Linked DNA regions of Drosophila melanogaster. The protein of the gene in region 4 interacts with the protein of the main gene of each other region in a pairwise test. Each region holds a gene or a part of one and is shown on either strand. Other genes may lie near its edges. The genes, in order: Eip75B, CG4250, Ets65A and croc.

Region 1 (8,270 bases), 3.4 Mb from region 4:
ATGGCTTATTGTTTGCTGATTTATGCTACGCCTGATCCACAGCAGCGTCTGAGTATGTTTGTAGGTATTTCTTTGAAGTAGCTGAAAGGGATTAATCCTATTAAAATTACATCGAAAATCACATATTTTGTATAGCTCCTTAAAGAATGTGATTACTTTCAAAATAATAAGGATTAATAAGGATTACATTATCTTTAATTGATTAAGAATTTTATATTTAACACTTACTTTTTTGCAAATTGAAGTATATCGCTCGATTGTTTGCTGAATTGATTGATGTATTGATTGATTAAAATCGTATCGTGTATAAGAATATATATATTTAATGATCGTATTTACGTGTGTATAAGGTTTAATCTTTGTTTGTTTATAAATGAATTTAATTGTAATATATATTCACTGCTTACACTACTTTTTATTTTAAACAAGTTACACGATTCACAAGATTTATTATTATGATTAGTATCAGTAATTTTATTCCAAAAATATATGTGTTTATTTGTATAGATATTTCTTAAGATTTTGCACATGAAACACAACGCTTTTGTTGCCTTTTTTGTTATAAACTTTTTAACCTGAGCATTAACTTCTTTCACTTTGTTTTTAATTAGATTTCCGTGTTTATACTTCCATGTAGTAGTTGTTTCTTTTTTAAACACCTCTAGAAAAATATAATTAGTTGATTTTTTGTATATTGGTTTGTGTTTGTTTAGTGGTGTTGTGTGAGCTTTAAATGGATGCTTAAGGGCCACTTTTTATTAAATTTTGTTTGTTTAACTGCTTTAAGCTCATTCATTGGGAATTTTCACTTTGATTTCAATTTGATTTACTTCGTTTGTTTTATTTTTTGTGGTTTTGGGCTCTTACACTTGTCTCTTTTGGCATTTGACCTTTGTGTTAGGCAATCGCAGAGTGAATTTGTTTATTAGGAACAACTTATTGAAGCACATTGCGAAAGGATGACGAATATAATGATTTCGTAGGAATCGCACAGCTGTTTTAGCGATATCTCCGATTTTCTGACATTAATGCTAGCAAACTTCTCTCCTCTTTTTCGTATATCGTATGGCCAACAGCTGAGGGTCGAATTCGAGTGGGTGGTCGGTAGCAACAGCTGGGCGCACGGGAAGGTCGTTTTCAGGGCGGAGTTGCTGTAGCAGCGGATATTTTTGGAGGACTGCGGTTCAAGAACAAGGACGAAGACGAGGTCGCGGCCGAAGGGGGCGGAACAGGACAGGATAGGACCCAAGCAGCTGTTCGGCCTGCACAAGGACAAGGACGCTCACGAGGCGCTACGGATACGATACGAGCACGATACACGGACACGGTTACGGCCACGGCCACGGCTCAATGTGGAAAACACTTGGCGCCCTTGACAATGGGCTATCGCTTATATAAGGGACCTTGGCGAGCTCCCATAATTATTGCACATTTCCCCGATTTATTGACACTATATGTATATTTATTATAATATTTTTCAATATATTTTTTCCTTATATTTTCACTCTCTGCTCGGCCAGTGGGGCTTTGTTTATTTGCTAGAATCGCGACAGGTTGGAATATATTCGCAACCGTTGCGTTGGCCGTACTTTCTCTGACTGAAACAGCAAAAGCTCTGAAAGCCAGAACAGAACCAGAAAAGAGCGACAAAAAAGCGAGTCGGTTCTCGCGCAAAAAGCTGCACAATGAAAGTGAAAACCGTATGAAAAATGAGAGAATCCGACTGCAAAGATGGGAAGAATTCGAAAGCGAGAGGCTCGGAGAGAGAGAGCGACTGCGTACGAGGAAGCTGAGGTGAAGAATACGAAAAGCAAAACATAAATAAACAAAAATAAACGCGAATGAGCCAGCCAAAAGAGAAGAACGCACACGGATTTTTCTAAACTTTTTTTTTGCGATGGGGGTTAACAAAATTTGGACTGGGGCAGTTTCAAGGGGGAGTTTTTGGAGTTTTTTGTGGCTAAGGGTTGATTATTCGGGGGTTGCTCGCTTCCCATTTGGGGTTTCACTTGACGGGACTCAACTTCCGTGTTTCAGTGCGTATGAGTAATGTGCGTGTGGAGAGATTTTCGTGGGGTTGCGCTTTTCGGTTGGTCTGGGCTACACTGGGTTATTTTCTCTGGGTAAGGGCAGGGTTACGCATTGAGGTAGGTTCGGGGTCTGCTCGTAATTGATGAATGGAGCTGTATTGCCAAAAAAGGGAATATTGCGCATAAAATTAAATTAGTTTGGGTTGGGGCTTGGCCTTTTATGTTTTGTTGAAAGTTTTTGAATGTTCATCCTGTAAAAAGTGACTACAAACATTTTATCTGAACATAAATTTATAAAAACAAAGGCTGTTCTACTTTAGTCTTGTTACAGATAACTTTAATTTAATAAATTTATCATTTTCATTATCACTAAGCATCAAAAGTTTAATACTTAATAAGAAGTATTATCAACATCGCTTACTTTCACCTGTCTATAACACGAAATCAGAGCAATCATCTGGCATTGGCGAAACAAATGCATATTTTTTCCAAGCGCCATGAGATGATGCCTCATGCCCCACAATTCCCTGTCTATTCGATGGCGGCCATATAGCGGAAGTTTCCGCAAACGTCAGTGGGGGAGACCTCCAGAAAAATGTACGGAGATACAAACGCTAGGCGCCGAATAAACCGCTATTTGCAAACGAGCAAAGGCGATGACACTCGGCGTGCAAGTGTGTGCACTCGCGTGTGCATGACAACATTCAATAGCAGCGTAATCAACAAACAAAATGCAACCTCACGAGCTGCAACCATTTGACAGAGTGTATATGTTGAACAGGCTTTTAAAATATAACAATTTATTTTAATAAAACTTTTAATAAAATGATGCTTTTATTCGAATATTTTGCAATCACATACATAGTTGTGTTTAATTGATTTCAAACATCTTATTTAATTTAAAAAAAATTGGTTAGTAATAATAATTAAATCTATGTTGTTAGCCACAGTAAATTTAAGTGAAAATCAACGTTACGGTTAAATAAAAAATTATACTTTGATTACACATTTTCTTCAAGTGCAAGCCCACACACAGACTACAATCAAAAACGCACACCACAGCACGAGGCGGCAATGTATTGACCTTAACACTGAACGACATCGCACACACTTGCATTGCAAAATAAGAACTTGAAATAGAATAAATCGAGCAAGAGAGCAGTGCAAATAAAAAGAGAGCGCCGAGAGAAATAGAGCACGTGAGTGTATGTGTGTTCAAGTTCACCCACACCAAGGCGAGTCTAACAGGGCGTCTACAGTTGAGCAAGCAGCGCTCTGTTAACGGGCTGCAGATCCCCTGTTAGCTTTCCTCCTCTGTTTTCTTGGGGTCTCTGCATTTCAGCGGAGTTGCCAGGGGGCGTTGGGTGGTGGGGCTGCGTTCTGTTTGCAGGGGGTGTGGCTCGCCTCTAATGAGGGTTGCAACTCCAGACGGAGTTTCATCCGAGTGGAATGAGTCAGACAGCCGGGGAATGGGTCCAAAAAAGGAGCTTATTCAGCAGGAAGGATAAGTGCTTTCGAGTTCGTTTTTTTTGGTCAATAAATTTAACCATCTAATTGAGGACTTAGTTACGCCTGATATCCGAGAGTTAAAGGTCATGCGACCCTTATACATGGTTTTGTGCAATATAAAATGATCACTTTTCTATCTTATGTTTGTCGGTTTTCGTATTGTTCTGTTTAGTTTAGCAACCTGCTTTTAATTTACTTTTAACTTTTAGGCTTTCGATTGTATGAACTGTTAAGTACTTCGCAAACCTTTGTTCAACTATTTCAAATTTTATATTTTTACTTTTTGCTTCGTTTATTATTTTAAAACAATTTGAGAGCATTTCTATGCACATTTTTCGTTCTTGATATTATTTGACCGTTTTTTATGCTTTCATGAGTCACATAATGCTTATACATATGTATATGCTTAACATCGTTCAGTTATGCGCAGTTAAGTGAATTTTGTTGAATGGTTCATGAGTTTAAGCATAAGTTTTCTATTTAAAGATAGATCAGTTTCACAAATCCTATATATAAAGGATTTCTGTTAGTTGAATTATTTTCAATGACGACGAGTGTTAACTTGCACACAATAATATGTTACACCATATTTTTTTATAGATATTTCTGTATTTAATATTGTCACAGCTTAAAATTTTAAACTTTGGCAATTGTTTGCACTATTCTGATTGTGATTGAAAAGACTGTCCTTGTGCTTCCCTTGTTACTTGTGATATTTATATAGCATCGAATTGGCACACAAAACTCACACAACTCTGCCTTAATCCAATTCACGTACAAAGAGTTCACCACTTATTCGGACGCATCACGCAGATACTTTTTGTATCTGCATTCAGAGGATTGCTATTTGTCCCGATCGAATTCTGGTGCTAACAAACGAAAGTTAACCGCCGATTGGTAAGACGATTGCGCAGAAGAGGAAAAGCGCGACAGAGGACGGAACGCGACGGTGACGGTGCGTTCCACATGACGTATTCAAAATGACTGAGACCAGACCGAGACTGGACTGCAAATTTTCGCAAAAGTGAAAAATTCTACTTTCAATATGAAAACGAACTGCGCTGTCGCCGTCGACGCCGACTGCGCTGCCTGGGCGGGAGTTGTGCAGCGGCAGCGCACTGTGGGTGTGGGTAAGGTAGGTCGTGGTATGGGAATGCACAGTGGCTACAGAGAGAGAAAAGGGAGAGCACCATCACCATTACAGAGAGTGATAGAGAGAAAGAGCAGAGCGGAAGGCCGACAGAGCCAGAACCTGCAGCGAATGCAGAGAACAAAGCGGAGCAGAGAAGTCAATGTACAAAGCAGATTGGGGGTGCAATGGACGCCGAACATGGAACTCAGGCGCGGACGTGTACGTCGCCACAGTGGATGCCCGCTAGAAAGAAATCGAAATCATGCTAATTTTTCAGTTTAAGAAATCTGAAATCTTGAAACTTGAAAAATTATTTAAACAATTAAACAACTAAACAAGTTCTTTAGAGCATTATGTTAATTTTTTTTTGGTTTAGCTAAATTAGAAAGAATTTTTTAGAAATTTGCTGATGTTTTCATGTGGAACATATGGAAGGTGTGTGTTGATTTCATCCTTTAATAACCCAAATATATTTTACTACTAGCTTGGAAAAAAATAAAAATCCCTACCAACCTATATTAAAATTTTTAGGAACTCATTAAATGATGAACTATCAATAAAAAGAAATAATAAAATAATCATTATCCAACTAGACAGGCCAAATTAATGATCTCGATATCGCAACATTTCAAGTTGCCCTGTACCGGGCTTTCCAAGCTTATTTCCATGTTTCTGACGTGTACAGTAGTACATATCGTGGTTCCCGCCTGGAGTGACTTGCCCCTTTTGCGTGCTTCTTTTGGGGTTGCAAAGTTTTGGCATTCCGGGAGTTGTCGTAGCACAGAAATTAAAAATAATTGCAAAAAGTCGGCGAGTGGGTGGATTTCTCGGGTTTTCTGATCCTGGTTGTCGGTCCCTGTCTGTCTGGAGTTGCAACCCCTCGGGCAACGAAATGAAAGCAAACTTCAGACTCTTGGACTTGGGGTGTGGAAAGCGAGTGGGTATCAAAGGGCCGCGAAGCAGAAAAGGCGAGAAAGGAGTAAGAGGACAAGCGGTTTCCTAGACACTCGATGGGCTACTTTTTGTTTGGTAAGGTCGGTCCCAGGCAGAGATACTTCCTTTATGAGCTTCGATTTTAGCCAGCATCGGGGGTTGCACTCTTATGGATCTGGCTTTCATTGTCTTTCACGCTGTGGGATAGGTTTGAAGGGAACAGCATCTTGTAACCTTGATTTTCTTATTTGCCATTGTTGTTGACAAGACGGGATTAACTTTCAAGAACTTATCATCACTGTTCCCGGACAGCGTTTCAAGAAAACCCCCCGTGACTACACTATTATAATTTTTTAATAGAAACTCTGAAATTGCATATTGACTATTTTATTTTATGGAATATCGATGCTTATTATTTTAAGTTTTAACGACTGTACAAATAAACTATAGCAAATGTAATTTAACCTTGCAAATACCACTGCAGACATTTGCCAATTCAGGTTCAGTCTTCTGGGGCATTTTGGAACCGAATCTGTCTCCTTGAGGACCTCCAAATGCAACGAGGGCGTTGCATTGAGACACTGGCCCTGGCAGCCCTAATACAATAGTGGTCAAATACCATGGTCAATGACAGCGTCGTGAAATTTGCAACTGGCGACACGTGGCAGGGGCAACCAGACGCCACCCTTGGTCCTTTTAAGAGGATGCCCCCGTCAACCCAATCTGAATCCAGTTAAAAACGTCTCTCTTTCTCTCTCTCTGCATAGAGCGGATGTGCAAAAGCGCATGTTTGCGAGCTGCATCGATGCACTTGCCACACGGCTGCACGAAGGTTAAAAGAGTTTTCAGGGGCACTACGAGACTTACTACTGCTCCATCGGGCGAAGACCAAGGACCAAGGACCAAGGGCAAGGACACGCAGGCATGCGCATTTCCGCATCCGAAGTCGGGTCCTTGGCTCTGGTTCGGTTTCGTATTCGGATCCATGGCTGGAAGTGCCTCATTGCCAAGGTCCCAAGCGTGGGGAAGGCAGTGATGCCCACTATAGACTGATACAAGTTCCTGTATTACCTTATGATGCATATCTAAGCCAAAATTTCAGTATAGTTAAACAACTAGTTCAAATTGCTTAATATAAATTGTATGATAGAGGGCACCATTTTAAATATTTTTCCATCCAACGCTTAAATACTACAATTCTATTAAGTGAATTTTCACTTACCCCTCATTTTACAAAATTGTCAGTCATTGTTAAACATTACTGTACAGTTCGATGAAGCAGGCGTAAAGCTCCTGTAAATGACATTGGGTAGTAGGTGGCAGACATGGGAGAAAACAAATATAGTGGGTACCGGGTGAAGCGGATTAATTTCAGGGCTGCACACTGCAGTTCTTTTGCATTTCCTTGACAAATTGTAAACTGAATGCAACCGATGCAGTGCAAGGATATATGGCACACACGTGTCACCCACACTCACGCGGTCGCTAAAATTCGACATTGCACCGATGGTCATTAAAAGGTCAGCAGAAACAAGTCCTTGCCCAGATCCGAACTAAAATGCGCAAATGTTTGGCACGCTTTAATGTTATCATCATAATATTTTAAAATATGTAAATTTAACTTTTATTTATAACAATTGATACATTTTGTATGTGAGGATTGCATTTTAGAAGCAACTCGCAAAGAATAAATACAGCAACATATATTCTTGAATAATAAATATTGGGTATAATACGTAATGAGGTTCATATAGAAAATATTTTTTAGCAAGCATTCTGTATCAATAATAAAAGATTTTTCCATACATTTTCTACTTAAGCAGACACTCACTGTGATTAAAAGTAGTACGCAATTAAACATAGAAAAAAACATTGTCTACGCCAATTAGTAAAACTGTTGACCAGAGCGAATAAAGCAAGTCCGAATTTACATAGCCTAAACAAACTAAACAAAATGAAATTTCGGGCCTGGGCCAATTATTGGGTCAATGTGCGTGCATTGAACTGATTCGGCCAAGTCAAAGCGTTAACGTGGCCAAAAGTGTGCTATAAGTCACTCGCCTCCAGAGGGTTCATTGAGACTAATTTTCATGGGGACCCGCAGAGCAGGAGACAAGGAGCTCCGGAGGGAGTATTTCTCCTTATTTATGGCAGAGGAGCAGGCGTCGGGTCGGTGACTCAGTGGCAATATTTGGGTTTAGCAAGAGTTTATCCCCTTGTCACCCTTAGAGCTTCTCCTCTCGTTGAAAATATGGGAATTTTCGACATTGCAGCCACACAAAAATCCCTACAACGTTGCTAATCGATAATCTGAGAATTTTTGTTTATTTTTTTTTCTCTTTGTAACATAAAATCAGGACAAATATAAATTAATTTATTAATATATACACAATCTTCCACTTTTTGGAAGTATATTTAAATAAAGGATGTCATGCTTGAGGTGAACAAGTTTAGATTATTCACCTCTATTGTATTATTCCAACCTGAACCCAACCTGAAGTTGAATCATTGTTCCAAAAACTCCCACTTTAGGCTACCAGCGCCCAACTACCTGATGAGTAAGCCACGGAATTTGCGGCCAATGTTGTTGAACCTGCGCGGGACTCGTGTCCATTGCACCTGACACGCACTCCTGGATGGAAAGGACAAGATTGAAATGGATGGGT
Region 2 (6,608 bases), on a different chromosome or scaffold from region 4:
CGCGGACCGTCCTTTGAATGCTGGTGTGCTTTTGCGTGGCATCTTTTCAGAACTAAGTTCATTTAATCTTCTATTTATTAAGCCTCAAAACTGTACTCCCGAATTCTAGGAACAAGTCCAAGCTGAACTGATAAGGCCCCACTGTTATCAACAAGCTTTTCTCAAGAGTATTTCTAGTATATCGAACAATTCAAGATGCCGGAAATAAAATCCCCTAGGCCTTACTTTTATCTTAAATTCTTTTTACAAGCCGAGCTCCAGACATCTGGAAAAATAAATACGTATTTTATTGCTTAAAACATATTACACTTAAAGTTCATGTATAGGCTTGCTGCTTTGGAATTTTTCAAAGTGCATTTCCAAAGCTCAAAAGCTCGTGTATATATATTTCATCTGCACTCTGTGGTAAACAGAAATGCAACAGCATTCCTATTTTATTTCAGATTGAGATTCGTATGCCATCTTAGGGGGATCGGTTAGGATCGCCTTTCCAGCCACAGGAACTGCATTTGTAGTAGGATTCATAAATGCCGACTCCACAATATCGATGACCGCAGCATATTGCACTAGCAAATATAAACATTTCAGTTGAAGTTGAAGTAATATCTTCTCATGTGCACTAAAGTACCAAAAATCCATCTTAAGCTTCTTGAATCGCGAGATAGCCAGGCGACTTCTCCTCACCATGGTATGTGAATCGCAGTTGGGACAGTTCGAATCTGTCGACATTTCACTGGAAGCTCCAAGCTTCAACTATCTTTTGTGCAATGCAGTTTGATTGCCGGTTGCATGTTGCAATTGGGTGACTCATGGAATTCTCATGAAGTCAACGAAACATACACATGAGCGTATCAGAGAAATTTAAAAATACTACTACATATATACTTATACACTCTGTTATCAGTTTTAAACTGCAAACTGTGTATTCGAATGGATTTAATAAGTTGATAACTGCGTAAATTTCAAATATCAATTTTTATGTTTTTTGCTACATTGTTTTGACTTTGCACCCAATTTTTGAGCAAACATTCGTTGCTGGAATATAATTGCGATATTAGTTATTTATCGTATATCTATCGTACATTGTAAGCACTATAATTTACCAGTATCTTATAACACATCCATCTATGGTAGTCTTCATAACTCATAGAACGCTTTCTTTCGACACTCGTGACTCGAATTTGCACGTTTCACAAACTATCGTTGTACAGAAGTCTGAATTATCGCGATGTTTGTGAAATAGGAGGAGGAGTTGGAATTCTTTGGTTTTTACCCTGATCATAACATTACGCTGGGTTTTCCATTTCACGCTGACGTCTAGAGCGCAGCTCAAGTTCAATTTACTGAACTCGCATTTCATTTCAATTTGCCTGAACTGAAATGATAATACTGACTGCTGGAATCAGCGAAGCTGATGAATCTCGGCAAATATGAAATCCGCTTGCTTGAATAATAACTTACTTATATAAACATGTTAATAAAATTGGACATCGAATTTGCATCATTTCAGGTATTAATCTGGATACTAGTTGCCAACATTTTTTAAATTATATGAAATTAACTAAATATTGTTGCCCATCTTTTTTATTGGTATTATTGCAGAAAAAGTTGTAATCAAATAAACGGATAAGCGATCAAATTACCTTGTTTCTTCCCTATTCCTTTGTTTAGTGTTTAATTCGAAGAGGGGAAATATAAAATCTAGGTATTAAATTACAAACCTTTTTCCACTGTTCATTGACATAAGTTGTTCAATATACATATATATATATATATATATCCAGTTTCAAGAAGAGGCAGCGATTGTTAGATCAACAATGTGAATGAAGTTATATAAAGGGCGTAGGATGCAGAACCTCAGATAAAAATATCTATAATATATTCCCGCCTCAGAAATTTCCGGGATTTATTAATATTATATACGAAAGTGTTAACATTCATATATCGCCAACAATTTGTGTGATTAGAAATTTATTTTGAAAAGTAAACCAATGCGAAAATTACATACATATATTCAATTGATTTGAACCAGAGTTGTATTTCGTGAATATTCGTGCCAAATCTGATCCCATCAATAGGTGTGGAGATACAAAGTGGGATCTATCCCTGTAATATTTGGTGTTGAGATAGCACTTCTAGTTCTTGTAGGTGCCCACGTAGGCTCCACAGCTGGTGCAGGTGTGTTTGGCCGACTGGCAGGAGTCGGTGCAGTACGGAATGCAGCAGCAGCAAATGCCCCTGAAAATGGCCATTAGTCCTGCGGGCAGGTGGAGCAAACGGGCTGCACTTACCCCAGCATGCAGATGAGTAGGGCCAACAGGTGGGTCTTGGTGCTGGGCTCGAACTCCACCTTCGTCTCCCTGCGGACGCCGCAGCTCGGACAAGTGGCAACGGATGGACATTGGCCCAGGACATTGGGTGGAGCTGAAAGAGGCACGATTGGATTTCGTATAATATGCGATATTATATTTTATGTTTGAATTGCACAGAAGAATTGACCATTATTTCCGATTGATTCATAGTTCTCTGTATTCTCACCCTGCAATATCACTCCCTGTCCCTGATGGAGCTGAGGATAGACCTGCTGCGGTGCGCTATCATAACTGGGCGGTGCCTGGAAACCCGGAGCCTGAGGCTGCATATTCTCGTATTGAAAGTTCTTCTCCATTCTAATTATTCCGACCGATGTGTGCTACGCGTTTGAATTGCCGACAGCGACTGAAACCGCAGAGAGCTCCTCCAACATTGCTCGGCGAACTTTCGAGTTGCGGCGCGATGCGAATTCTATATAGCCCTACTATGTCGGATGGCTTGCTAAGCGATTTCCGTTAAATATTATGTGGCTATCAGAATAAGGGCTTTTACATGAGTAAGTGTTCTTTTTTTTTTGCAGGATGAAAAGCTTTAGTAAGAAATTGCTCAGCCATGATGAATTAATTAATATCAAAACTTACCAATAAAACAGAAATGTTAGCACTTAGTAGGGTATTCCATTGTCAGGTAAACAAACCAGTAGCTTTTACCCTTCCGAAATGGTCCTTCCAGCTATGCTATTAGCACGTATATAACAACAATTTGCATATTTATTGAAAACATAAGAAATACTCAACTCTGCTCAAGAATTGCGTTGTCTCTAAAACAAATCAACCCCCAGGTAAAATCCACTCGTTTCTTCCTTGAACCCTTTTATTGGTGTGCTGAAGAATACATATGCCGGCACTACAATGATTTGTTTTGTTATCAAAATAGTGCGTAGTAATAAATGTGAGAGAGTTAAAAATAGATCAAGTGGGGATAAGTAATGGGGGCTGCATTTCGGCACGGCTGCTGGCTGCAGTCCACGACAAAAAAAAAAAAACAACTTCCGGCGGAAGTTGCTCAGCGCTCGTAGGTGCCAATGTAGGCGTTGCAAGATGGACAGTGGTGGTCGGAGTTCCGGGCGCATTGAGTGCAGTACAGGCAGCAAGCAGGGCCAAAGGCTGCACGAAAGAGATCACTCAATGAGAATGCACCCAGAATGTTAAGAAATCAATATCGAACATGGCTTACAAGGTAAGGCACATAATCAATGCTATCAGGTGAGTCTTGGTGGTGGCTTTCGGCTCCACACGAGTGGTAACCTGTTGACGGCAACTGGGGCAGACCACGATGCACGGTTCCGGGCCAACGGAAGTGGACATTTCGATGGCGGAGCTGCAGAAAGAAAGCACAGGAAACTCTAATAACTCTCATATTGATTGCAGCGCAGACCTTGAAAACTTGAATACGTCGCGTGCCGCTGGTGCATGAGCATTAAATTGGCTGGTTAATGGGGATTTTAATTGCACACCCGCCATGCAAAACAAGCTGTAATCCGCCTTATCTCCCGTCGATGGCACCACGGTGCTGCGCAATCCCTCCTGCCGCCGTGAGGTCATCCTCGTGGGCCACGGAATCTCTTGTGCCATGTGGCAAGCTTCGTGCCGACGCCGTCATCGCACAACCGCGTGTGTCTGAGCCCCGCTCAACCCCGATTCCATCCATCATCTTTGCTCGTCGTTTGGTGCAACTTGCTTGCTCGGTCTGGTCCTATCCAAAATCAACACAATCTATTTATGTATGTTCTCACTAGCGCAAACCACCCAGCACAGTATCCTTATTTAACAGCGGGTGTGTCCGTCGCCAGTGATTAACATTCCCCCCGAAATCCTACTGTCGTCCTGTATGTCTTTGCTGAGTTCTCCCCCAAGCAAAAGTAAATTTTTTGGGGAGCGGCAAAGCAGCGGTAAACATCTAAACAACCAGATATTACCCAATTAGACCTGACTATAATAGTCCGTTGCTCATGTTTGACCCAATCCTAGGCTTGCATAATATATCTCTCCCGTCATACTTACAATCTGTATGGGTGGGTACGTTGTCAAAATAAATAAAGTAGAATTCCGATTTCACAGAGAGACAAAAAGTTAATGCGCACTGTTTGGGCTGCGAAAGTGTTGTGCGGTCAGAAGTTTAGGGCGCGAAGCGGGACACTACACTTCCAAAAGTATTTCCGTTAGCAACATTATGTTGCCTAACTGGGAAGTGATATTTATATACATCCTTAAAATTGATTACAGCGTATCCCTAGGCTGAGTTAAATTAAAATCCTTTTATTCCATTTCTTAAGAACTAAACATTTAGCAGAAATTCAAATATTTTACTAAATATTCAATTATAATGCAAAGAACTTCAGTGATTTCATTTAATAGCATGAACAGTAATCTTGAAGCATCTTAGCATCAATTTAAACTGTGCCAACATGCCGGTTCGTCCCAGCAACATTTTACCGGTTCAAAACAGTTTCATATCAACATTTATTGCTGGACACAAAAGAGTTGTGCTACGAAAAAGTTTCGGGAAAAGACCGCCAAAAAGTACACAAAAACAAAAAAAAAAAACGTATGAACAATTAAGTTTCACATTATTTTTTCTGCAAATCTAGTTGTCTGCAGCAACAATGTAGCCAGATACCCAGAAACAGAAATTAAAGAAAATTCCATTCGCTTCAAAATCTATTTGTTTATTTTTTCGCTGTCAGCTTATTTTGCTCACTAAGCAAACATATTTTTATGTATGTTAAGTGATGAAGACACCACATTGACGCCGTCGATACATAAGGAGATATGAACATACATACATATATGTATGTATAGTTGGTTATGTATATATATATACATATATATAAAATGAAATGATATGAAATCGGCGAGTGTTTTCGCTGCGTCTTCAAAACGAACCCAAGCAGGAGTTGCAGTTGGGACAGTACTGGGAGGTCTTGTAGCAACAGTTGCAGCAGCAAGGGGCGCAGACGCAGGGCCAGCATCTGGTGGATAGAGATGGGAAATAGAGTATATAGCTTATAAGGCACGATCAGCAATTTCTCATAGCTTGTCCAGGAAGAAGCAAAACAATTGCGGCCACAGATATAGCAGACTAGTAAAAACATTTCTTTTTCCGTTTGCTTACATACACATTATGTATGTACAAACCTTTGTTGCTATACTTGCAACCATAAATGCGATCTACTTACAGGAATAGGCAGAGCAACGCCGCCATACAGTAAGTTGATCCGGTAGGATGGTGCTCCACGCGAAGGCGAATCCGAGCGTTGCAGTGGGGACAGATCGTTCCCTGGCGGGTATTGTCCACCAGCACTGTCGTCTGGTGATGCATCACGCTTACGGGCTGCAACACCGGCATGGTTTGGGCCATCACGGGTATCACCGGATTGGGATGTGCGGGCGACGCCAGGTTCTGCTGCATGACGTCCTCCGCTGGAGGAGCGGTGGCGAATGGATCCGAGTAGGGCGGCGGGGAGTCTACGCGCTTGTAGCAACGCATGCTTTTCTATACTCTTCAAATCACACTAAAAATATCAACCAGTTGCTTACAGCTGCGAACGAGCACTGATATAATACTGAAAGCTTCCGTATATGTATATCGATGACAGTTTCATTAAACTCAGAACTGCCTTATCGGTATCGGTATTCAATTGATTCGCTTTCCTCATATTCTGGGTATTTATCCTAATACGAATATAAAATCTATCTACTGGCACACTAGGTGAGGAAATTATGGACCAGAAAAGATTACTTCATATGTGCAGTGAGAGTAGTAGAAACCATCCGTCATTAACAAAAAGAACTTAAATTTAAAACGTTATTATTTTATGTATCTGTATACATATATGGCTAATCTTGATTAAGTCTTGACATGGAAGGCATTTTTGGCAGTGCGGAGACACAGCACTTGATCAAATGCTATAGCTCCCAATGTGGCATCCACAGTTGGGACAGTAGTGCTGGACACTCTTGCAGTAGTTGATGAAGTAGGGAAGGCAGATGAAGGGCCAGCAGCTGGAGAATCAGGTTAGCAAAGTTAGTAAGCCCGGTGGTATCCTGACGCCCCACTCACCAGCAGATATACAAGGTCAGAGCGCACATGTGGGTCTTGCGGGTGGGGGACGTGGCCAGACTGGTGGTGACCTCGCCCCTGCAGGACGGACACCTCACCCTCATCGGCTTGCAGCCCACAGCCAGTGGATGTGCGCCCGGCCCCACTCCGTTCAGGGTGTAGACGGGTATCTG
Region 3 (8,371 bases), about 15 Mb from region 4:
AAAGAAGTTTCTTATAGAAATAAATGGACATGGACAACTTGACGGTCGGAGGCGGCATAACAAACTCTTGCCAGGCACGCGATGAAATTGTTCGGTTTTTGATGTTTCTATCAAAACCTGGCAAGGACCGCAAACAGTCAACAGCAACCGGCTTCGGGCGGCATTATAAGCCACATCCGTTTGCCCCGGCTTAAATTGATAAATATGTAACCTAGCCAAGCCAACAAAAAAATAAAAACCAGCCATGAAAATATCAGAGGAATAGAAACCGACCCTGGGAGACCTCAACGTTTATATGGATAATTCAATTTAAAATTTTTTGCCCAATTTTTTTGCTTCTTATTGTTGGTGATACAACGAGCAGAATTATGTACATGGCTGGTCGCGGTTTTTAGCCGTTGTTTTGGCCATTAAATGTTACGGCCCTGGACATATTTGGTGGTTGGTCAACTGGGAAGGGCAATTGGCGGGGGTGGCCATTGGCCAACATATGCTGCCTGGATGTGTTTAAATAAATACGCGAAATTTGCCACTTTTGTGGCACAACATTTTCGGCAGCTTTTTTTTCTCGGCTTGGGTCCGTTTTGCCTTGGCCGGAAGCGCAGGATTTGTTTTTCCGCCATTTCGTTGACAGTTTTGTGCTAGACAATTGCGAGAAGGTCAGTGGGTTGGTGCACTACAAAGTATTACGCGTTCGTTTTGTTGCATAAATCATTTATATAACGACCATATTTGTTAAGAAACAATATAAGAACGAAAATATAATAATTTGTGTTCAATATGAGGTTAATTGAAAATAAAAACGACAAAAAACAATTATAAAAAAGTTAGGTAGATAAAGCAAAGTATAACCCTCATCTCATCTAATTTAATGATTACTTTTATTTAATATAAATATAATTTAAATGATTTTAAAAATAAGACAGATTGCTCCCATTTCGAAAATGTCTACTATTTGTATATAATTTATTATTATATTAATAGTTCTTTCTTTCGATGTATAATCTATTGCTTCTGCCACATTAAATTCACTTACCTGCCCTGACTTTGTGCTCCACATGCGAGGAGCTGGACGCTGTTAGCGATGGAAGTGCTGGAGCCGCACTCACCGCATCCAGAGTTCCGGACGTGACCTGTCCGGCGCTGGACGTGATGACGCCGTGCTGGGTGACGGCTGGAGAGCACCCGGATGGCGGCTGCAGTGTGTCCAACCGATGTCTCTGCACGCCGTTCCCACTGCTGCTCAGAACTCCGGCCGTACTGCTGCTGACCGCATTGTAGTTGAGCACTCCGGCCACGCCCACTCCGACATTGGGATTGTGTGGAAGGCCAAGGCAATTGCCGCCTCCATTCCCGGACTGAACGGGCAGGGTGTCGAGGGAGTCCGTTAAGCGCTGGCTCGAGTAGATGTCGCTGTGGTTGGAAAACATACATTTAAGATATATATACCATAATACCAATTAATAAGACCTCAAACTATAATTCTGAATTCAAGATTAAAATTCTTTTAAAGTAAGATTTCCAAGTTAAATGGTTTATAAATTTTATTTAGTGCAAAATAGTTACATCTTAAGATGTTACTCACCTAAAGGCACTGCTGGCCCCGAAAAAACTGCTGCGATCCTGCAGCGCCGCCTTGGCCTTCTCCACACTCTGCTTCAGCTGCTCGAAGGTGGACTGATGGAAGCGGTACGAGGTCCATTCTGGCGAGCACTGTCCGAGTGCAAGGCACTCCTCCGTTTTCACCTGGGCGAGAGTCGGTGGCGATACCCTCTTCAGGTCCAGCGCCGTCTGATACGAACAGGAGTTCTCGTACATGGCGCACGCCTGGGGAGCCTCGATGGGTGGCTGTTGGCTAAACAAGGGATTCCACTTGACTCTGCCGGAGAAAGTAATAGATAGAACAAATTGGTTTTATAGTACTTATAAAACTGCGAAAATTACAAACGAAAATGAATATAAATGAATACTTAGTACTTATAAGTTACTAAAACTTAAGATATTTATTCATACACTCTTGTACTCTATTGGTAGTCAAACCAGAAGATTTAATTGCTTTAAAGTCCAAGTAAACTCCATCACTCACCTCATGGCAAATTGCAGAGCGAGATATTAATAAATCATAGCGCGTGGTCCACAATTAAATACTGCAATTTTAGAATGCCTCTCGGGCCAAACAATCGCTCTAATTGCCATGGCCCCAACACGTTAAGCTAGCTACCCGAAAACCCCCCCGATGTTCTGGCATAATTAATAGTGGCTACTTTGGAGCTGTGGAGCTAGTGTTCCCTTAGATATAAGCACGACGTGCATAATTATCTGGCTCGTTATTTATTGTGTGTACAGTCCCGCTTTTTGCACTGGGCCAACGTTGCGTATGAGCGTTGAACTGTGCGTGGGTGGCGGCCATTTGAGCGTGGCTCTCTAATGTCCAGCTGGTCGAAGCTGGGGAAGGCGAACCATTGTTTACTGGCCCTTTTCGGCCAGTCTGCAGTTAGCACACACAGGGGGCATGCAAATTTTTGCACTCTGCCCTCGTCGGAAGTTGCTGAATTTTGATTTATGCCAACGAAATTTATGCCATACAAAGTGCGACTTGTCCTGTCTCTGGCTTAAAGTACACCAAACATACCCGAAATGAAAACTGTAACTGAAACCCCAGCAGCTTTAAGTTTGCCGGGAGGAGTAAATAGATTTCGTTATCGAAACGGTCGCATCTACAGAACATCATCAACTTTGCGCCTTGTCAGACATTATAAACGGCCTGCACACGCCTCATTTATTATTTATTATTTGTACTCAGGCCGAGTGGCTGCGTTTGCATGTAGGCAAATTTCACCAGCGAACATTAGCAGGCAGACATTTTATTTTTTTTGTATTCTGGTATCCTTGTATTCCCCAAGTTATCACAATCGCTGAGCGAACGCGCGCACACCGGAAATACGAGCGGGATGCCAGGATGTCGGTCTGCAGATGGGCTGAATGCTCGTCCCGTTCTGCAGCGCGTGCTGAGTCCTTTGAATACCACTTGGTATCGCTGTGATTGCCGAGTTTATGCTCTTCGACAGCTGTTAATGGTGTAATCCCCTTGTTGGACGAGAGATCCTTTAATTAAGAGGCCACACGTTTGGCTGCTCTTTAATGGTTTGTAAGATTTTTATGCGATTTTAGGAAATTAGGATTTTTGAATGTTTGCACAGCCGACTGGTTGATGAAACTGTGCTGCTGTTTAATTGTCAAGCTTTTACCCAATGATGCTGCTGATGTGCTTTTTTTCTGGTTTATGAATACTTCCGTTTTAAGTCTACTAATTCGATTAGCAGAAACATATGCTTCACAATTATCTGATGATGGTGGGGTGAGCTTTTTAGGGGTTGGATAACTGTCGTTAGTTAGAAATTAAAAGCAACCATCTAAGTTCACAGGTGCTGTATCTAAGCGCTCAAAATTCTATGTAAGTGGATTTAATTTATCAGATCAGAATGTTTGAATAGAAAGTATCATAGTTTACAAATATCTTAGAAATTCGAAATAAATTCTATCAAAATATTAAAGTTTATTATTGTAATTATTCTTTACTGACATTGGTTATAAATTTTTAGATTTAAAATAGACTTCAACATGTCTGGTATTCTGAATTCGTACATTTCAAATATTTTTATGCATTTAATATTTTCCCCATTTTATGCTGGAGATTTTCCCCATTTAAGCCTAGGAGTATGTTTTCAATTTTTGAATAAAATTCTACCGTTACGATATTATCTTTAATTTACTTCAACTTTGGTTCAACAAAGCACTTAAAAATACATTAGTTATTTAGGACCCCGTCGGAGTTCTGAATCATGTTGATCATTCTATAATTCGAACATAACTCACCTCAGGATTGTGCCTGTATGTGCAATAAAGTTTATCCAAAAATAAGTCTCCTCTTTGACTGTCTCTTAAACTTCCGTCGGGACAACTTAAGTTACAACTTAGTAATCTTAAACACTTCACAATCGTTGGGAATCGGTGCAGTTAATCACTCACTCAAGTGCGTACAAATTGCCAACCGGAAATGAAATTATTGTCAAAATGGCGACGGATATGCGACAAGTGAACGCGACAGCGACGCGCCACGCAAATGACGGTTTTGTTTGCAGCCAAAGTTTCGTAGTCCTGGAGCGGATATGCAAGGAAATTTGTCACTGCAAGGACGATGACGGCGACGACCACCAAGCCAACTGGACACCGACGGCAGCGGGCTCCTTGGGCATTTCTCGATGTCTTTTCGCACAGGTGCAGGTGCACAAAAGGTGGGTGGTGGTGGGTGGCGAGGGGTGAGAGGTTCGCAACGAAAGCGGAACGAAAATGAAATCAAAAAGCGAAATTTCTATAATTTCCGCACAAAAATTTCCGCGACACACTGGCAGGACACATGTGTGTGTCCTTGTCTGTTTCTTTTTCGTGCGCTGCCACGCCCACAGCCAGCAACAAGCTGGGCGTATGTGTCCAAGTTTTCCGCACTGCTTGCCGTGTGTAAGTGTACAAGTGTGTGCCGTGTGTGTGCTTTGTGTTTTTTGTGGTTTTTGTGCCTTCGTTTGCCGCTTGTGCTGACCAAGAAAGGTTCGCTAGTTTGGTCCTTGTCCCGGGAATATTGACGACGTGTGACCGACGAATCTAAACCGCAAAGTACCGCTATTATGTCGTCCGCGACGTGTTGCACTTGGTAGCGCGCACTCCAAGTTAATGTGGCGGCCAGATCATCCCGTCCAGTCACCAGTCCACGCTCAAAGATGGCGACACACTCCTCCCACAAGCGGTGGCTCTGTGTGGCAGGGGAACTGGGCGCTATCACCGAGGATGTGTCACCCCATCGTCCTGCGTTTCTGCGGCGGCTAATGCGCAGGCGCGCTCTCCGCACCACAACCCCATCCACCGCCCACTTTGCCGCTGCTCTGTTATCTGCCGCTGTCATCGGCTGCTGGTGGGCGGAGCCAACTCTGTGCCATCGGGGATGTGGATGTGGATGTGGCTATGGCTGTGGATGCTCCTGCCTTTCGCCGGGTCCTTTGCTCCGCGTTCTTGGGGCATCATTAGTGCTGCCGAAGAGAGAAGACCCCATTTTGGGCGGAAGTGCGTATGAGCAATATTTTAACAATGGCGTTTAAAACAGTTAAAGAGCGTGTGCTGGTGTGCGAGGCCATTAGGACCTTAGTTTTGCGGTGGCTTTAAGGCCCGCAGATAAGCCTCGCATAATAACATTTTAATTTCGAGCAGCAGTGGCCACAAAAGACCCGCCAAGATACCCAGATGCTCCTGCTGCCTGCCAAAAAGGATATAATTAACATGCCAGCTGCTGCAGAGCACACACACATGTGCTAAATGACGTCTAGATAAGCGGTGAGCCTGGTGACATGATTTAAGGTCCTGCGATGGATGGGGCAGGATAATTTGCGATAAGCGGCATTCGGGGTGATTAATTTGCCAGCCCAAGTTGTGGAATGTCTTCGAAATGTCTTCAGCTCTCAATTTAAACTAATGAGCTCATGTACAGCATGTATTTAATATTTAAGATTGGTTTTAGGCAACGAGAAGATGTCTTTGCAACAATGTCGTAATTTGAAAATAACTTACTCCCATATAAAAAGAAAAACAGGTTTCTTAAAACAACAACCTGAATTATATATTTTTAAGTTTAAAATCCTTTCCAGGATAATGAAATTTAACGGTTAAGTGAGCTTACCAAAGCAGCTTAACTTTAAAGCTTGTAGAGCTTTTAGTAAATTAACAAACCCAAATGGCTTCGAATAAATCCTTAAGGTTCTTTCCCAAATAAAACAAAGCAAATACAAAAATCTTCAATCTTTTAATTAAACAAAACACACAAATGTACACTTATCACAATAAGTTTTGCTGTCTATAACTCGTATGACATAAGTAGTCCCAATTATAAAAAAGTCTGCTCAGTTGCGCTTGATCAATTAGCCAGTGATAAAATAAGTTACAAAAACTCATTCAGCAGGTAGAATAGAATGAATGTCTTGGAAATGCGGATGGAATTTTAGAAACATGTTGCGAAGTCTTTGAAAAGTATCTTTGCGCCTTAGATGCGACTTTTGGAGCTCGATTTTACTTCAAATAGTTTGCGCACAAAGAATACCTGCAAATATTAGGTTATTAATTTAGGAAAAGCAAAAAACATGTCTATACTCGCCTGTACAGAGCACGTGATCAATATGACCACAATTTGGCTAATCGAGAAGGTTTGAATATAGGCATTGTTGTCCAGGAGCAACGCATAATCACGCGATTCGCGATGACGACTGTGGGCTTGATAGCCCATCATATCGTTGATGTTGCGCTCCACAGTGCCAACGGTGGCCTAAAGAAATAGATCAATGTGAATATTTGTAAATGGATGTTTGGGTGTGTCTGAAAACCAGTTTGGCTTACAGTGAAGTTTTGCATGTTCAGCTGCAGCTGCTCGATCTCCTTGGCGTACTTGTCCCATGCATCGTACTTCACCACCGTGATATAGATGTTGACCAGCTTGCCAGCGAATCGGGAGAACTGGTTGTCAATGCAGACGGAGTAGTAGCCACCGGGCGATACCTGATCCGTGTAGTCCGCAGTAGCCTGCCACTGGTAGGGCTTCACCACTTCACCAGCAGGATTGCGGACGGCGAAACCAGCCATTCCATCGCCTCCGCGCACCACCTAAAAAAAATTTATATGAATAATTTCATTGTATTAGATAGATTATATTACTGTATTAATGGATTCGATTTGATTTATTTTAGAATATCACAGACTGCTCAAGGGGAAACCCATCCATTGGATCGGAAACATGCTATTGATCCCAAATTCTATCAACTTACACTAAAGGACACGTAGAAGGTGGCTCCTGCCTTAACGTACTGATGGTAGCAGTCCTCCTTACCAGCATCTATGTGAACCTGAAAGAGAAACCACGTTCCCGGTGAAATTTGATGCTCTAGAGGAGTCTTAAAATCAGCACACACCTTATAGTCCATGGCCACCGCTGGCAGATTCTCGTACCATGGTTGTTGGGCCTCCTGAGCGCTGGTTACGTCGATCAAAAGACAACAACAAATCAGAGCAATCGGAAGTACTAGATTTATCTGATCTCTCTGCCACGTCAATTGCATTTTGGGATTTATACTCGTCGGATTAGTGGTGCCTGGGTGGGGATGAACTCAGGGGGATCTAATCTGCCGTTTCCTCTGAGCTCTCTGTCAACAAAAAGGGTTAACTGCACCGGTTAGCTAGCTTTCTATTTGCCAAACTACCCATAAAGTTAAATAAACGAATTCAATAAACAACCGACCTGTTGCTTAGAGGTGGACTATTTGCTGTGTGGTATTTCTAGAGCAGGGCTGCCAGATCTTTGCAACTGCCACCACTGTGTAGCAAAGATGGGCATTTAAACATATATATAAAAAAATGTATATTGTATTCAAGTATGTTAATAAAATTGTTCTATTTAAAAGGCTTAATAAGCAAATATCAAAAAATTTTACCAACAAATTTTTAACTACTAAAACAAGCCCCTGCGAATTTTTACTTACTACGCACATGTAAAAACAGCTGGTCTAAAATAGGTAAGGCAACTCTAAAATTTGAATTGCAACTACGGCGATTAAAAGATAATTTAAGTAAGAATTTTCTGAATTACCGCTAAATTTGGAATACGAACATTGCACAATTCTTAAAGACTCCACAAGGTGTCTATCCCCCTTATCGCAGACTTTCCCACCAATTTGTGATAACTAGATCTGTTTATATATGTACGTACATATGTACATTTTGTTTGCGGCTTTTTTGCGATAATTAAAACAAACACATACGCACATCGAGTGCTGATTAACCTTTACGGCTTGGAGAGGGTCAGATAAAAACGCAGTGCAATTGGCACTCGTAATCATTCCACAGCTGCAGCCGGATCCAAAATGGTCAACGTCACGGAAGACGTCTTCGCCAACGGAGCGGTGAATCCGTTCACCAAGTCAAAGGACACCATCAAGCGGTTCACCCTGACAAATGGAGCTGGAATGTCCGTGCAATTGATCACCCGTGGAGCCACCATTACCAGCATAAAGACGCCTGATGCCAGCGGTCAAATAGATGACGTGACCCTCGGATTTGACGATTTGGCGGGCTATCAGAGCGAGAGAAATCCGTATTTTGGAGCAACCATTGGGCGGGTTTGCAACCGGATTGCCAATGGCAGCTTTTATCTTGATGGAAAGCTAGTTCAGGTGTCTAAGAACCGAGACAACAAGTTTCAGCTCCATGGCGGCTTTGTAGGCTTCGATAAGGCTCACTGGGAAGTTGTGGAAGTGCGTGTGGATGGTGTTACCCTGTCCCA
Region 4 (8,045 bases):
TGGCTAGATTACATTCTTGCCACAGTTTTCTCAGTGTGATTTCAGCATTTTCTCGCTGTAAAAACGCACGGAAACTGTGTTCATTAATTTGTGTGCCTTTTTTCCCACACCCAATTACAAATGTCATCCGCCAAGTGGGTGCTGCAAGTGAGTATGGTTATTAAACCGGCCAGATATGAATTTACTTTAGAGCCATTGTCTATTATGGCCTGGTTAATTGCGGCGACAGCTGGCAAAACAACGCCAAACCGTGCAAGAACAACAACATCATCATCATCACCATCGCCATCATTGAAAAAGCGAAGTTGTTGTCACCGCGGCAATTGAGCGTCGACCACTGGAATTTATTGTTATAACGGGGCAATGATAACAGGTCATCAACACAACTGGCCAGGTAAATAAATATCAAGGGGGTCAGGGGTTGTATAGGAAACATACACACACAAACATACATAGGTGTGAATGGTGGAGGGAGGTGGCGCTGAAAAGTCCGAAAAATAGGCAGCGTTAATTACAAAGGATCTCCCGCGGGGCCAAGTCATAGTCGTAGAATAGATACATTGTAACCGGTGGATACGAAAATCCTTGTGACTGCAGCACATTTGGCAGCTGGCCGGCTAATACTTGCATTTAATTAGGCTTGCAACAATATTTATGTAAATCGGGCTGGTTGCGCGATGAGCCACAGAGACAGCTGTCAATATTTGTGAGCGGCACGAACGACAACCATTCCGAAAACCATTCCGCCCGTTTTAGCTCGATTGGATTATTGGGCATTTGGCATTGTTGTCCTGCGAGTTTCCCTGCCTGTGTGTGTGCGTATCGGTGTGTGTGTGTGTGTGTGTGTGTGTATGTGGGCGCGTCCTTATCGCTAAGCAAACAGTGCAACATTTTGTCGCCATCGCATTTATTTTTCTTGTCCTCCGCCTGGCGTTGCGCTACAGAGGATTCCCTATTCCCTATTCCCGATTCCCGAATCCCAATTCCGATTCAGTTTTGTAAATTCTGGACCACCCGCGCAATCAGCGACGGCTGCACTCCAAGCAAACATACAGCCACTTTTCCATCCAGACTCTTTTTGTTTTCGCATTTAATTTTGTTGCTTTTCACACCGAATGGAGACTCCGGATGGCATCGAATGGCAGTTTTGCTGTCAACCGCCCAGCCGACTGTATTTGCTGCCAAAAGTGCTGAATTTGCATACCAAACTCGTTCCCCTACCGATCAGCCAAATATTCAGATTGAAAATATTGAGCTTTTGGATACGAATAGCCTAGTTTATTGAGATAGGAGATGCCCCTTTTTGGCTGCCAGTATTTGGGGATATGTGAACATTCTAATCCATTCCAATAATTAAATGTAAATAATAATATTAATGATCAAGAATTTAAACATTTTTCGGTACGCTACAAATCCTTTTCTTTCATCTCTTAAATGTAGTTTGCTTTTAATGGTGGTTCCAACTATAAATATTTTTTGTTACATTTTCCAGTTTGAATTGGCAGATACAACCAATATCGCTGCCCATTTGATTTTGAAAATTTCAACCATCTGACCAAAAATCAAGCCCTTCATGCTCAGTGGAGTCTTCCATTCGAAGATTACTTTCAGGCCTACTACAGTCTTTGGCACACTTTTGGCTGGCACTCGAGCGCCATTCACATGCCACCCAGCCAGGTATTCCATTGTTGGGGCTACGAACAGCTAGCCAAACCTATTGACTGACTGGCGTTCGAGCGGTGTCCGCCATTGAAAGCAGCCGTCCCAGCTGCGAAGCACCTGAGCGGAGATTGGGCCACAAATCGAGAGCCATACAGATACACACATGACCAGATTTCTTCCCCGAGTGCGATCTCAATGCCGCGGTGGCGCCAAGCGGCGCTCACTCAAGTGACAATGTCGTCGAGCAGCCTTTATTGGAATAAATCCAAAGCCGAGTTCCGAGACGAGACCATGACCAGCTGCCCATCGTCATCGCCAAGTTAACAGCGTATTTTGGCCATCAATCAGTGGCGCTTCATCTGCCGATCTTTGGCGTTGGTTGGGTAACTGGTTACTTCGCTGGCTAATAAGCTCAACATACTGATTTATTCGCACTCACTCACGCTGCGCAGGCTGGTGTTTTACTTTCTACCAATTTGTGGCAATTGTCTGGCAATTAGGAGCAGCTACAGTGTTCCCTGTGGGGGCACAGTTTTCTTAACTAAAGATTTGTAATTTGTTGGCCATTGTTGGACGGCAACCTTAGAGAAAGCTAACATTTTCGTTTATAAATGACACTTTTAGGGGGGAATAATAATATAATTCTTCTGGATACAATACGATCTTGTCAGTTGCCATAAAGTGGCTTAAAGGATCCTCAATTTCAAGTTTTTAAGCAGAAAGAAGCTCAGACTACACAATCTAACAGTGAATATAATATTATAAATACTAAAGTTACCCTTTTTTGTAAATACCTTTCGATAGCTAGTCGTGCATATGAAGCATACAATTTCCTGGAAATTTTCATTTATTATTCCAAAAGGTCGAATGCATAATTATTTCCACTGAAAGGGGGGAAGTGTTTTCTATCCGATCGCTTGACAAACGACATATGTCCACGTTTGCAAGTCCATCGGAACTGCAGCCAACTGATCGAGTGAGTCCAAATGATATGATACGGCTACCCAGAAAGCCATCTTCCAGTGACAATTGGCCAGTTGAGTCATGCATTCGGGGCTCGAAACGGACACGCCTTGAATAATTATTTATCTAGGAATTCTGCGTGCGGGCTATCCAGTTTCGGGGTAAAAAGTCTGTTTTGCCAGCCAAATGCTCAATGGCCAGATGGAATAGCGAAAGTCGCTCCGAATATGAAGGGGCCAAATAAAACACACGATTTGAGATATTTTAACATATTTTCAATACACTTTTTGTTCGGCTCATATTGGTGGTACGCTAGTTTTGATAGTTATGTTATAGCTACGATTTAGTTGTATAATTTATTATTGCTTACGTGGGCTAGGCTAGTGTACTAGGCGATGATAGATCGATCCGATGCGGTAGTTTTAGTTATTGACAAAATGCTCTAATTTAAGTTTATGTTCTGTGTAGCAAAACCCCATCACAAATTGCGTAGCAGACAATTGGGACTATGCCTAAATTCGATAACAATTACGAGCTACAATTACAAATACAGTTAATACAATACAATACGTTAATGCGGTTGCTTAACAGCTATGTCCCCCATTATTTCGTATACGGATAAATCGAAAACAAGTTGGAAACAAAAAGATCTGAGATAGCAGACTCTGGACCCCGAGGGATCACCACCCCCAGGCTGTGTAGACTCGTTCTTGGGTATATTATATGGTGTATGTATTTACAGGAATATACAAGAGAGCCCAGCCCAGTCGCCGAGAATCCAGCCCACAGGCTTACACCCCGTACTTGATGCCGTACTCCTGGTAGTGGCCCACATGCGGTCGGTAGTGGCTCAGATTGCTCAGCTGACCCAGCTGGCCCAGGTTCCCGCTAAGCGCCGCATGGTGATGATGGTGGTGGTGGTGGCTACTGATCACCGCCGCCGCTGCTGCCGCTGATGCCGCTGCCACGGATGCGGAGGCAGGTGGACTGGCGGATTGTAGGCTGCCGGTGGGACTACCGGTGTCCAGTTGGCAGGATTGGTTCTGCTCGAAGATCATGTCGCGGAAACCCAGTGCCGATGTGGGACTGCTGGTCAGCACGCTGGAGGATCCTCCACCGCCACCGCCGCCGCCTCCGCCACCGTTGCCCACTCCATTGTGGTTGAGTACGCTGCTGCTGTTGTTGTTATTATGTCCCGGGTGGGTGGGTGTGCCCTGCTGCCCATTGTGAGGAACGGGTTCCGATGGTGGCGTTTCCGGGGTATACCAACCCCCGTGCGCGGGACCATGCGGAGTTGAGATCGTGGTGGGCGAGTGTCCGGACGATTGGCCTCCCGCTCCTTGGCCGCCGGGGGTCAGAGGATGGGCCACGTGCGCCACATGACGCTGCAGTTGCTGGGCATGATGGGCCGCCGCAGCGTGGTGGACATGATGCATCTGACTGCTGGCCACCGTGGCCAAGTTGTCCTCGTTCAAGTGGTAGGGATAGGCGCTGTGATGGATCCGCGGGTTGTACACATTCATGAGTGAGTCCACGGTGAAGCCGGGATGCTCCACTCCGCCGCCAGCCAAGTGGTTCATTTGGGCCAAGCTGTCGTGGCAGGAGTTGAGCATTGCGGCATGGGAGACCTCCTTGCCACTTAGACAACCCAAGTCCATTAGGGGCTCCTTTTTGAAGTGGGCAGCATGGGCGGCCATGTGCTTGGCCTCCAGTATGCCGTTGGTCATCAGCTTGAGGGGCTTCATCTCGGCCAGCTTCTCGTTCATCATGGCCTGCCGCTTGATGGCCTCCTCCTTCTCCCGCATCACATCCTTCTTCTTGAAGCGGCGACGCCGGCGAAGGAAGGAGCCGTTGTCGAACATGTTGTAGGAGTCCGGATCCAGAGTCCAGTAGGAGCCCTTGCCGGGCTTCTTGTCATCGCGGGCCACCTTCACGAAGCACTCGTTGAGGCTAAGATTGTGCCGAATGGAGTTCTGCCAGCCCTGCTTGTTGTCGCGATAGTAGGGAAATCGCTCCATGATGTACTGATAGATCCCGTTCAGGGTCACCTTCTTGTCCGCCGCATTCTGGATGGCCATGGCTATCAGGGCGATGTACGAGTAAGGTGGCTTTACAATCTCCTTGTTCTGGTGCGGGGCACCCAGGCCGTAGGCGCTGGCCGAGTACGGATAGCGGGAGTACTGGTCGTATGCGTAATGTGCCGCTGCTGCAGCGGAGGCGCTGCTGGCCGCCGCCACCGCGGATGCGGATCCGTAACCGGCTGCGGTCTGGGCATAGTGGCGCGTAAAGGAGTTCTGGTCGCTGAATAACGTATGCATGGCGGCGATTCCGGCGGATTTCTGATCGATTTTCCACTGCCGCCTTCTGGTATTTTCGTACTCTCTTGCTTTTGTCTTGCTTTCTTTCTCGAACTTAATCACTTCACCACTGGCTGCTTCTTATTATTTCTAGCGATAATATTTGCTTAAACAAGTCGCTCACATAAGTGCAGATATATAAATCTATATATATATATATATATATATGCATCTATTTGTAGTACAGGGGAAATGGGAGCGCAGAGCGAGCGCAGAACCGTTCGGTATAGTAACACGTCTGATACTGAATCTGTGTAACTGAAATAACACACAGCTCGCATCGAGCAGAAGCGTTTGCGTCGGCAGAGCGTCGCCCGCACCAGAAAGTATCTCGATCCGCTGCCGCACAGTATCTGTGTGTACCCGCACAATGTATCCGTATCTGCATGTGTATCTGCAGCCAACCAACGATGGCTGCCACTCGCAGTCAGTAAGTGAAGTGGGCCCGCAAACACAGCTGCGTCGAAAGTATCTGTGTGTGGCCAAGAGAAAGAGAGAGAGAGAGAGAGAGAGAGAGAGAGAGCGGACGCCATTCATGCTTTCTTTTTTGTATAGGAAAAAATAGTTAGCTAGCTACGGTGTGTGTCCTGTGGGCACTCCTCCCCTACCCGTCGCTTTTCCAAGCCCTTGTTTTTGTTGTTTAAACTAATGCTTAAAATACGGCCTATCGCCCTCTCTCTCTCTCCCTCTCTCTCTCTCACTTCCGCTCTCGCTCGCTCCCTCTATCTCGCATTCATGATATACTAGATACAATGGTAGTAAGAGCGAGCGAGAACCACATCAACTATGAGAGGCACCTGGGAAAGCCAACAGCACAGGCACAAGTGGGTGGAGGTGGTGGTGAACCAGGGGCTGCAAACGAGCCAACCACCCACTTAACTCACCCTTCCAATGACTTCGGCATAAATTAGTGATAAAGTTCTTTCGATCTCAGCTTAAAGTTGTTCGTCTTCTCGGGAGAGGCAGAGACCAAAAAGTTGCCTGCTAATTTGCAGTTTGATGGGTTTTCGCCAAGATGTTCAAGTTAAGGGCCACGTTTGAAGGTTGTTTTCGTTGAGGGCAAGGCATTAAGTTTTTAGCAACTCCCTTTTTCGGGCGCTTGAATTGACAATGGTTTTTTTGGTGTGCAAAGGGCAGGAATTTTTCAGGCTTATTTAAGGTAAGAATTTCAAGAATACTCAGGATATTAGACAAACATGTTTTCCACAGTTTTTCAAGAACTATTGTATCACCCTATATATAGGATCCTTATATAATAAAGATTCATTAAATTGTTGTTCATGTTAAAATGTCCTAAAAAAGAAAACCGAAATTTTTCTAATATCTAAAATGTATCTAATATCAAAAAGAATGAATATATATATGTAGAAAACTTTTCCCTTCTGCAATATTATTATGAAGCGAGTTATTTATTTAAAAATTGCTCTATTGGCGTGATTAGTTTAAATCAGAGATAATAATAATTGAACAGTTAATACAAGTAGAGTTTTGTACCATAAATTTATAACATATTAAAATTGCACTTGTTTTTATGTTATCTCCTATCCGCCTTTTGACTTGATACTCATTCACTCCACATTTCCAAACATCGAAAGGGTTACTAACCAATTTACAAGCCAAATAACGATAGAGTCAAACATAAAAAGTCCTTCGGCCTCGTCCTTCCCTCTCGCGACTCCTCTGCTCGTTGAGTCCTGCAGTGTCGTTTTTTTCGCAGACTTCATTTCTATTTTCTGCTTATTAAAACAATATTTTTTATTGACTTTGTCAGCTTTAAAGTAAATTTCATATGTTTATTTGGGCAAGGGCAAGTGTGCGTGTGGATGTGAGTGTGTGTACGCGAGAGGCCGAATGGGATGGGCTGGGTGTTTGTCTGGTTATTAGACACAGGGAAAACAAACACGCACATATTTATATTTGGATAATTTAAAAGTATGCTGACTATTTTTTATTTGTACTTTCCGTGGCTGTCTGCAAAAACCGAGCGCTTTGCATCACTTTAAAACCCCAATCGTCTGGGTAATTGATACAAGAATAATATTTGGCTCTATTAACGCAATCGCATTATTTTGACAAATATTTTTATTGTTTTAACATAATTTTTCGCATGCGATCTGTCGGAGAGGATGAGGCTATGAATCATCGTCATGTGTGTGTCCAGTTGGCCACATATCCTTTGCAGGATGCGAAAGGATGAGAGTCCTGCATTTGAAATTCGAATGAGGCGACTCCGCCGCCGTATGCTCCATTTTACGCACTTTATTTGGCTTCCTTCTGGTTTCGTTCCATATTTTTTTCATTTTTTCCTCTCGAGTTTCAGGATTGCTGCTGCTGATTTAACAAATTTCGTCTTCGACATCGGCGCCGTGATTGCGATTGTATGGGTTTCGCTGTGGGTGTGAGCAGTTTTTTGTGAGTAACTGTCTACTGGCTACGTCTGTGCATTTAGCGCAGTTCATGTTATTCTTACGTAGTTGCCATTGCCTGTCTGTCCGATTCCCCCATCCCCCATCCTGCACAGCTACAGCTGTCCGTATCCGTACTGCTCTGCCACTCCATCGTATCTGTATCTGTATCTATATCTGCAGCCATCCCACTGCATTTGACCTATCTAAATATTGATTTAGTTTCCCAAAACTGCAACTTAACATTTTCTCCGCGAATGCAGTGAAAGCTGAAAGCTGCTTTTATCTCGAATGTAAAAGTTGTTTACTAGAAAATAATGCAGTTTTGTGAAAAATGGTCGTTATTACGTGATATATTCCTAACATATCTTATAGATATAGAATGACCTTGGTCTTGTCCCTTTCAATAATTAAAAACGCGAATCTGCATAGCCCTATGAAAAATACTATCTTTCGTTAATCGATTATGACTCCGAAATATGCCTTAATTACCCAATTAAAATGATCATTAAACACAAATCGCAGTTCTATCAACTTTAGGCCTTGATGGGCGCCTATTTGACAAGCACAAAATTTGTCAATTTGGCAAGCACATTTGCCGTACTGAAATGACAACCCCCCCATAATTTTGGCAAGTGGAAAGCGAGTTTTGGTAGAT

What was found.
Region 1: the proteins of croc (region 4) and Eip75B interact in a two-hybrid assay, tested with the Drosophila melanogaster proteins (one large-scale study listed by BioGRID).
Region 2: the proteins of croc (region 4) and CG4250 interact in a two-hybrid assay, tested with the Drosophila melanogaster proteins (one large-scale study listed by BioGRID).
Region 3: the proteins of croc (region 4) and Ets65A interact in a two-hybrid assay, tested with the Drosophila melanogaster proteins (one large-scale study listed by BioGRID).

Annotation. Positions count from the first base shown.
Region 1 is NT_037436.4:18,060,194-18,068,463, forward strand, and holds the start of Eip75B (Ecdysone-induced protein 75B), read right to left. Parts: upstream 4,504-8,270; 5' UTR 4,318-4,503; intron 1,261-4,317; exon of another isoform or gene 753-1,260; intron 662-752; 5' UTR 229-661; intron 82-228; 5' UTR 1-81. UniProt on the Drosophila melanogaster protein: Implicated in the regulation of ecdysone-triggered gene hierarchies. Probably plays a key role in mediating the regulation of the larval molt by 20-OH-ecdysone.
Region 2 is NT_033778.4:22,659,805-22,666,412, reverse strand, and holds CG4250 (uncharacterized protein), read right to left. Parts: upstream 2,722-6,608; 5' UTR 2,669-2,721; coding exon 2,500-2,668; intron 2,425-2,499; coding exon 2,292-2,424; intron 2,239-2,291; coding exon 2,136-2,238; 3' UTR 1,939-2,135; downstream 1-1,938. Other genes in the region: CG42867 (uncharacterized protein), read right to left, coding at 464-566, 629-729; CG42565 (uncharacterized protein), read right to left, coding at 5,248-5,344, 5,552-5,862; CG13511 (uncharacterized protein), read right to left, coding at 6,275-6,377, 6,436-6,608.
Region 3 is NT_037436.4:6,093,977-6,102,347, reverse strand, and holds the start of Ets65A (Ets at 65A), read right to left. Parts: upstream 4,732-8,371; 5' UTR 3,877-4,731; intron 1,880-3,876; 5' UTR 1,819-1,879; coding exon 1,586-1,818; intron 1,414-1,585; coding exon 1,037-1,413; intron 1-1,036. Other genes in the region: loj (logjam), read right to left, coding at 6,086-6,142, 6,197-6,364, 6,436-6,699, 6,861-6,938, 7,005-7,151; CG10467 (uncharacterized protein), read left to right, coding at 7,953-8,371.
Region 4 is NT_037436.4:21,471,252-21,479,296, forward strand, and holds croc (crocodile), read right to left. Parts: upstream 5,229-8,045; 5' UTR 4,944-5,228; coding exon 3,417-4,943; 3' UTR 2,882-3,416; downstream 1-2,881. UniProt on the Drosophila melanogaster protein: Required for the establishment of head structures.